Oryzias latipes: one gene and its partner. The protein of the gene in region 2 interacts with the protein of the main gene of each other region in a pairwise test. Links are inferred from orthologs where the notes say so. Each region holds a gene or a part of one and is shown on either strand. Other genes may lie near its edges.

The links.
Region 1: the proteins of sat1 (region 2) and translational activator of cytochrome c oxidase 1 interact in binary tests that used the Homo sapiens proteins (3 or more experiments, as listed by UniProt). The two-hybrid records come from large-scale screens. The link is inferred for Oryzias latipes from reciprocal best matches to the Homo sapiens genes SAT1 and TACO1.

The regions. Positions count from the first base shown.
Region 1 is NC_019877.2:7,385,445-7,389,776, reverse strand, and holds the start of translational activator of cytochrome c oxidase 1, read right to left. Parts: upstream 2,906-4,332; 5' UTR 2,816-2,905; coding exon 2,801-2,815; intron 2,716-2,800; coding exon 2,442-2,715; intron 2,368-2,441; coding exon 2,261-2,367; intron 1,030-2,260; coding exon 896-1,029; intron 376-895; coding exon 213-375; intron 1-212. UniProt on the Homo sapiens protein: Acts as a translational activator of mitochondrially-encoded cytochrome c oxidase 1.
Region 2 is NC_019878.2:2,835,745-2,840,167, forward strand, and holds sat1 (diamine acetyltransferase 1), read left to right. Parts: upstream 1-1,407; 5' UTR 1,408-1,614; coding exon 1,615-1,677; intron 1,678-2,442; coding exon 2,443-2,494; intron 2,495-2,562; coding exon 2,563-2,643; intron 2,644-2,839; coding exon 2,840-2,941; intron 2,942-3,008; coding exon 3,009-3,049; intron 3,050-3,342; coding exon 3,343-3,519; 3' UTR 3,520-4,271; downstream 4,272-4,423. UniProt on the Homo sapiens protein: Enzyme which catalyzes the acetylation of polyamines. Substrate specificity: norspermidine = spermidine >> spermine > N(1)-acetylspermine. This highly regulated enzyme allows a fine attenuation of the intracellular concentration of polyamines.

The DNA of each region.
Region 1 (4,332 bases), on a different chromosome or scaffold from region 2:
ACTTGATTTAACAGGAATAATAGAAAATAGTTGTTTTTTAAATGGATTAGTTAACTCTGTCAGGTTAAGTTAGTCCTTTAAACATGTCAACATTTAAAGGACTTTAGCAAAAATATGCCAGATATATTGTTAAATATAGAAAGTATAATCAAACTTTTTTTTGATTCAGCAAAAGACCCTAAGAAAAAACCCTCCGGACCAGGTTTTGTCACCTTCAGAAGTGGCTTCTCCTCCTCGTCCTCAGTTTCTTGGACATCTGCCGCTCCCGATTCGATGGCGAGCTCAAGCGCTTTCTCTGAGGAGATGTTGTGACCCGGCAGCACCACTACTCCACTGCGATTGAAGTTATGCCGGCAGCCATCGGACAGCGTCCCCCTGAGGACACAAGCGGGAAAACAAGTCCTTTCATTCGTTTTCTTCATTTCTGCTCACAAACCCGCCTTTACGATAAATCCATCTACCGCTTTTGGTTGATTTCAGTTAAACAGCTTATTTGCTAAAAAAAAATGAAAGAAGTAAATGGACCAAAAAGGAGGTCATGTGACCCCTTGGGTTAATTTAAAACCCCTTTTTTTGGCTAGTTTGAGGTTGCCATCATCATTTTGTAACACCAATGAACTCTTCCAGAAAGGGGTTCATTAAAATCACAGATGCTGGTTCATTGATCAGCCGTTTGTGCTAAAGATTTACAATGAAAAAAAACATGAAATTGTTTCTTAGAAATTCACCAGCAACGGTGAGGTTACAAGGAGCAGAGGTGATGATGCTGGTAAAAGGATGCTGGGATTGGAGCTAGCAGGAAAGACATCAAGAGGAAGACCAAAGATGTAGAGGACTGAGATAGATGGAAGCATAAAAACTAGACTGGAACGAGTGAGTAAAAGTTAGTTCGGACCCGTTCTTGTTCAGCAGCCGCTTGATTTCCTGATGAGTGCGTGAGTTGTTGTCAGTGAGCACCTCGATGAGCAGCACACATCCACCAGGCCCTCGAGCTTCCAGCATGTGCTGCAATGCCGGCTTAGCCTTTTCCTGTAGACAGGAAGTGAAAAAACGTTAACAAATTAAAGTTATTGAAGGTTGTGAGAATTAACATCACAGGATTTATATTAAGTACATTGTAAGAATTGTTTCACCACCAATCACAAAGAAACATCTTCAGAAGAAGAAAATGATGGCGTATTATTCTGATGTCGCACCCAAACCGTACATAAAGCTCACCTACCACACAAACATACAGGAGTGTGAAAAGTGTCTCCATTTTTAATGTGAAAAAGCCATTTTTCCATTTTCCTCCCTTCACCCAAACTACAACAAAACTAAATACCGCTGGACCATCTGAGGCCTTGGATTTTAATTCAGACACCATACCAGCTCTTCTTTCTCTTTCGGCTTTTCCCATCAGGGGTCGCCACAGCGAAACGACCTCTCAGTCGAGGATGAGTCGCATGGTTAACTTGGCAATGTTTTACGCCGGATGCCCTTCCTGACGCAACCCTCTCAATTTATCCGGGCTTGGGAACGGCACAGAAGCAGAGAAGGGAATAGGGAGCAGCCCGGATTCGAACCCTTGTTTCACGGACAGAAGGCGCCGCAGACCAGCAAGAGCTAAACCGGCTCCAGACACCATTCCAGCTACTATTTAAAAAAAACTTTAATGACATATATGATGTTACATATTTCCCAAAGTAAAAATCTAAAAAATATGAACATTCTGCTAAGAATATTTTCTTAATCAACTGTGTTCTGAAGATACAAACTTCGATGGTTTATATATTTAAAATAAAAATACATACATTTTTCCCCCCATGACAAATCATTCAAACGCAATGCATTGTGGTCTGTATTTGCCGATTTAGTGAGCATTGATACATACTGGTTTTTTGCAGAGACGTCTGGGAAATTTCACAGCACTGGATTTGGGAACGATACATTCAGACAGCTTTACAAAAAGGTGAAATGCACTATCTAGTGCACTAAGTAGTAAACCTGTCCTCCTCAGGCTCCTCTGATATGAATGCTTCTGTCTACCTTCTCCATGTTCACGTTATCAAGCTGAAGCGCACTGAGGTTCTGCAGCAGGTCCACCTCTCTGTGACGTAGGAAGTCCCTCCCATGTGGACGACTTTTAAAAACAACTTTTCTTACTTCTGTCTTTAAATTTGGGTTTGCACTCAAAAGCACAGAATCAGATAGGGGCAAACACTCCCTCCCCCCCCCCCCCCCCACACACACACACCTGTGTTGTAAATCTTTAACTTACTGCACTCTTGACTGCAGCATCTATGGATGCCTTGGGCATGTTCTTGCTCCTGCACTGCTCCAGGATGTGTGCAAGGTTTACATTCAGGTCTGGGTTGGATCCTCCTTCTGCAGACAGACGGACAGAATCCATGAGTTCAAGTGAAATAATGACGTCATGTGTCAACAAACTCTACACTCACCCTTTACTGCTATTCTTATCATCATGCCAAACTTCATGAACATCCGTCCCCTCGCTTCATCTTTGGGTCCTTTGATGTGTTTAACCTTTGACCACTTGTTGTGACCTGCACACGACGCGGGGCTCATGCGCAGAAACCTCACCGGACAGGACGACGCGCACGGGGGCCTGGAGGGAAGGGGAGGATCCCAGCGCGGTGACCGGACCGCGGTGGTGGTCAGTGCTCGGGGGTGCAGAGCCCGGAGAGCCCTCAGCAGCGGCAGCCCCGCCATGCCCTTCACCCACAAACACACAACAGCTGATAAACGCACGTGGCGCACGCGCTGCGCTCAGCAGCTGCGCCGTGAATTTACGTCTCACCGCCAGCGCCTTCATGACATCAAAAAAAGGAGCATCGAAGTTTTTAAACTCACAGTTTAGGCAAAACAAGACCACTCGGCTCTTGCTGCTCTTGGGACTTCCTGGTTTCGGTGACGTCACAGTTTGAGCTTTCAAAATAAAAGCTGCTTGGTGTTGCTCAAGCAGCACATTCCAGTCATGACCTCGGAGGCTACTTTTAGAAGGGAGACTTCTTTTTTGGTCCACTTCTTTGTCTAGAAGTCGAACTTTGCACCAATAATACAAGTGGACAATATGGTATCAAAATTGGTTTGTTAAAGCGTAAGTCTATGCATTATTGGGGTAATTTTTATTTTATTTTATTAGCATATGCACTGGGACCCATGGCTGGTTTAATAAGTTACTTTACTTTGTCATAATTAATTTCCTTTTTTTTCAGAGAGTTAATCAATATGCCACCAGGTTTCAGTCTTAAATTTAGTTGATCAGCATCTTGGGTGATGTTACAGATAATTGGAAAGTATTAAATGTTTATGGTGTTTTTCTGATTAGAGGATTAGATAACTGCAATAATCTGTTCTGATGTGTTTACATATTGACAGAAATTGATCCAAAAGCCCTTGTTTACATGTTTGAGTCTTTGACCCCCATGCCGCCTATTGATGCAAGTATGCATCAAACCACATCGTCTCTAAAATAGTTTCTACATAAAAGCAAAATCAGAAGCAATTTTTGTCACAGACGGAAATAAATTCAGGCGTCAGAGTGTTCACCAAATATAGTTGTTTTAATTTTTATTTTGTGTAGAAAAAAACCTGTATGGACGTTGTTTTCTCCCATAAATCAAAGTGATTACGTCCTGATCAATTTAATTAACAATACACATGAAAATCAAACTTGTTATTACATTTTTAAACATATCCAGTCTGGCTTAAAGGAGCCATGCCTAATTTCTTAGAGTTGTCCTTCCAAGATTATAGATCAACAAATGAAATAACATGCCATCCAGAAAGAATGACAGTTGACTTTTACAGGTTTTTGTGTAGTGGACTTTGGATGTTAGATCAAAACATTGATAACAGTGTATTTCAATTTTCAGATTTTTTCTGAAATAAATGTGATTTGATTTACATGGGAATTTTCAGATTGTTGCTGTCATGTTCATTTATTCATTTTTATGTCAGAATGATTTATGAAATAATCTCTAATCATAATTTATTCTTATAAATTATGTAATTTCTAATAATCAGGTAAATTTGGGCGAACACTGCACTCTAGAGACTGGGTAGAATTTCTTCTATAGGTACCAAGTGGAATAGGAGATAATGGCGAGCTCTTTTAAATGATCTTGGTTAGAAAAACGAGAGCTGAAAATTATTTGATTTGATCTTGTTTCTATCAAAGGAGAACCTCTAAAATCCTCTGGCAGAATGGCAAAATCCAAAACTTTAAACCAATCAGGTACTTGAAGGCTAAAAGTTGTAGATGAAGCTAATTAGATTAAAAAAATAAAATCCACTCAAAATAAAATCCATTCCACCTGCAGATCCAAA
Region 2 (4,423 bases):
CCGGAGACTTTAGCTTCCTGCCGACGTCCAAAATCCTGCTTCATGGGTTCCTCTAAATAGTCCCTAGGCGTGTGTGTGAGTCTGCATGGGTGTGTGATTGTGGCAGCCTGTTGATTGTGGGGGGTTATCGGCATTGTTTGTCGTGTCATTTTGTTTTTAAATTTGATTATATTTTATGCAAAGCACTTTCAGTGACATGAGTTGGAAAAGTGCTATATAAATAAAGGTTGAATTGATTGGATACTGTCCAAAAACATGCTTCATAGGTTAATGTGTGTCTCTGGATTGCCCCTAGGTGTGTGAGTGAGTGAGTGCATGGCCCTGAAACAGACTGGAACTTGTTCAGGGTGTCTCCTGCCTTTAGCCCAACAGTAGCTGGGCTAACTCCAGCTGCACTGTGACCACAAAAGGGATTCAGCTGGTTCTGAAAATTGAGGCACGATTCTTATCCATTACAATGCATCAAAGTATATAACACAATACAGAAACGGCAGGTGGGATACATATGTTACGCAGAAACACAAGGCCAGATATTATCTCTCCAGCTTGACCTGAATCTGCGGCTGGAAATACCTGTATGTCCACCAGAGCAGGATTGTTTACTAGCAAAAATAAAACTTTATATGAATTTTTGTATATTTAAATGGAAAGATATGTAAGTTCCAAACAGTGTACTTTTATTTAACAAGAACTGGGTAAATTAATAAACAATTGAATAACTACATTTTAGAAACAAATCAACTTGAAAATAAGACATCTACTAAAACTCATATATTTTTAAAATGTATAACTTATTTTTAAATATCTACCCAAGTGCATTTGGTCTGTGGTGTGTGGTAATGGCTTGCTGAAGTTTTCTGATAGTACTTTTAGTGTGCTGTTGTTTTCACCACAGTGGTTCACTGCTGGAAGATCTCAGTAGTTTCAACATAAACTTAAAGAACTGAGTCAAACAGACACAATAACTGAGAGGAAATAAAATCAGTTGTATTCTTCCATACATTGTTTTGGCTTGTCGGGCAGCTCTTTACCTGCAGGCCTCTGTTGTTTTCTGACCTAAAAAGACAGTCAGCCCAGCCCCTCCATCACAGACTTGGGAGGTGGAAAATTCCACTGATGTTGATTACAGGAGTCACTGCTGGTTTTGTTCTGACTTTAAACTTTTTCTTGTTGCTGTTTGCTTGATATATGTCCTATTCTATTTATGGATTCTAGAGTAAGTGATTCTTCAAAGAAAATTACTTTAACAGTCTCTTTTCCAGAGCACACATATGTAATGTCGCTGCGTATCAGCCTTTCTGCGGCCGCTGATTGGATGAAAACTGACCGCAGGGTGCCGCTGATTCGCCACAGATGAGGGGGCTGCTGGAACTGGCCAATAGCGTTCGAGCGCGAGCCGGGTGTATAAATAGTGTTGAAACAAAGGGAAGGAGTTAAACGGCAGTGACCCAGCCGAGGGTGAGCGCAGCTGAATGATCTTGTCCCGACAGACGCGTCCGGACCAGAGGCTGACTGTGGGGATAAAGCCACTCTGACGCGAATGAAGAAACTTCTCATCTTCCAGTTCACATACAGAGGACTTTTGACTAAAGGAAAAAAAGGGAAAAGAAGAAAATGGAGTATAAATTACGAAAAGCAGAGCCCAAGGACGTGCCAGACATATTACGACTCGTGAAGGTACGTAGATATAACGTCAACTACTATTAGAAAACAAAACAAAAAAAACCGGTCTGAACTGGACGCGCTTGTTCCGGTTAACGAGCCCTTTCTGCTGACGTCACGTTTCCCGCTTTGGAAACGTGTCGTCGACGGATAAAAAATACGGGAACTTTTTAGGAGAAGTGTGTCTGACAGCTGATGGTGAGACGGGAGGAAGGTCGGCAGGATGTCCGGCCGGCAGCTCAGCCCGGCGGCCTTTGTTTTTCAGCCAGACGGCTGGTGACCGAGTTAACTTCCGCCTCTCCATATATGGCTCTTCCGCCCGGCAGCTTAGCTTCTTATGGAGGCTGACCTCGGAGAAGTGTTATTATATGGTTGTGTAACGGCCGACCTGACACAGATACACACGTTTGACACAGTAACGCAGCTGAGGGGATGTCAGAATTTACAAACACAAGAAAAAAAAAACAACTAAAAACCGGAACAAAGAAGGAAATAAACGGCGCTTTTTGACACAACTTCATAAAAGCGGAAGTTGAAAACTTATCTGCCTAACCCGTTTAAAACTCTGCTGCAGACATAAAATACAGTACAAAGCAGCTGTCTTTAATAATAATCTCCAGCAGAAAACAAACTTTTATTTAGTGTTATTTGTCATTAGACGACGTCTTTGTCATCTGTGGAACATCCTGAGTCATCACTTTTTTTGGCTTCTGTCATGAACTTTTCTCTGGAAAAGTCTGCTCTCAGAATGTTTTTATCAACGCTCTGCTCTCATTCCAGGAGCTTGCTAAATACGAGGAGATGGAGCACCAGGTGGCGCTGACGGAGAAAGGTGAGTGTCCGGCGGCGTCCGCCCGCACGCCGACAGACCGTGTTTGATCATCGCCTGCTTCTGTGCAGATCTCCTGGAGGATGGATTTGGTGAAACGCCGTTTTACCACTGCATCATCGCTGAAATCCAAGGAGAGAGCAGCAGTGAAGGTAGGCGTGTGCCGCTCTGCTCAGCTTCCTGTTTGTTGGCAGGAAGAAGAGCCGCCGCCGGCTGCAGTTTGGGTTTAGTCAGACGTGTCGGCTCACGTGTGCTCTGGCTGGAGGCTCAGAGCAGCTGCAGGTCTGTGAAGGTTTCCTCCCTGCAGAATGGCCGGTGACCGCTGTCCCCCCCCTTGTCCCCATACAGATCCTAAGGTGGGGGGGTTTGCCATGTACTACTTCACCTACGACCCCTGGGTGGGCAAGCAGCTCTACCTGGAGGAGTTCTACGTGATGAACGAGTACAGAGGTGAGAGCAGCTCCTCCTGTCCTCCGGTGGGTCCCGAGCATCCCTGAACTCCTGTTGTCTCTTCCAGGTCTGGGGATGGGCTCGGAGATCCTGCGGCACCTCAGTGACGTGAGTTCGATTCCTGCTGCAGCAGCAACTGTTGATCGTTAACAAAACCTACAGTGTTTTTTAATCGATACCTTTTAGAATAAAAATATCACTTCTTGTAACATTCAAAACAAAATATATAAACATTGTTTTTTCTTATGAAATCCTGTAATGAAAAGACTCAGAACGTCTGTCTGCTCCGTTCCTCCTGTTGACTGCATGATGCTTCTGTGTCTGACTCATGAGCTGAGGCCTCCTCCTCCTCCTCATGTGACCAGCTGCTCTAACGTCTCCTTCTCTTGCTCCTGGTCCAGCTGGCGATGAAGACGCGCTGCACCGGCATGATGTTCGTGGTGGCGGAAAACAACGCCCCGTCCATGCAGTTCTACAAACGCCGCGGCGCGGAGGACCTGTCGCAGGAGGAGGGCTGGAGGCTCTTCAGGTTTGACAAGGACAGCCTCCTGAAGATGGCCACTCCAGCTGAAGAATGACAGGAGGTCCAGCAGGGCGGCGCAGGAGCAGGAGGAGACCCAGGAGTTCCAGCTCCACTCCCCTCTGCGCAGATGAAGCATGCAGATGTTTCGCTGTAATGGTTCTGGTGCAACACCTCTCTCTGATTTCTGATCTGAACTTTCCCACCAATAAAGAAATTCCTGATCTCAGAAGCTCCAGCCTTTCTGCTGTTTGACAGATCCGCTCATGTTCATGCAGCTCTGGACGTCCTCAAACGTGGACCTGCTCATCCGGGTTGAAGATGAGAACCTGAGCTCAGAAGAAGAGCTTTGAGAGGCAAACGGGGTCAGACTTGACCTGAAGGCTGAGTTTTAACATGCAGGCCCGTTAGAGGATTGTGTTAAGAAAATGTATTTCCATACTCATTATTTTCCATGTATTTATTTAAAGTCTTGGAGTTTGTTAGCTTAAATCCTATTATCATACCAAATCATAGTTTGTAGGCATGCTGGCTGGATGGTTTTTATTATTTTTAGTCTGGTGTTAACATGGTCGTTAGTCTTTCAGTTGATGGAACTGTAGACACTATATTCTTTGTTTTTCTTCAATGACCCTGGCATGCACTCGCACTTGTCTGCAGCCGCTCAGCTTCATAACAGCACTCAGCTCCCTGGGAGGTGAAGGCCGCAGACATGCAGCCGTGAGGAAAGAAAGGCGGAACCTCCAAAACGCTTGAATGTAACCGTTGTCTGTCTGCTCCTTGCTTGCAAGTAAAGCTTGAAAAGATAAACTTTTGAGTCTTATTGAATCTTTTTGCATGTCTGGAAAAACTGTCTGTGAGCCAACGGCGTCTTTACAGCCCGCCTTCAGAAATCTTTCCTGACAAGAGGGTTGTGTCTGGAAGGTCATCCGATTTCAAATATGCAAATCAGACCTGTGATG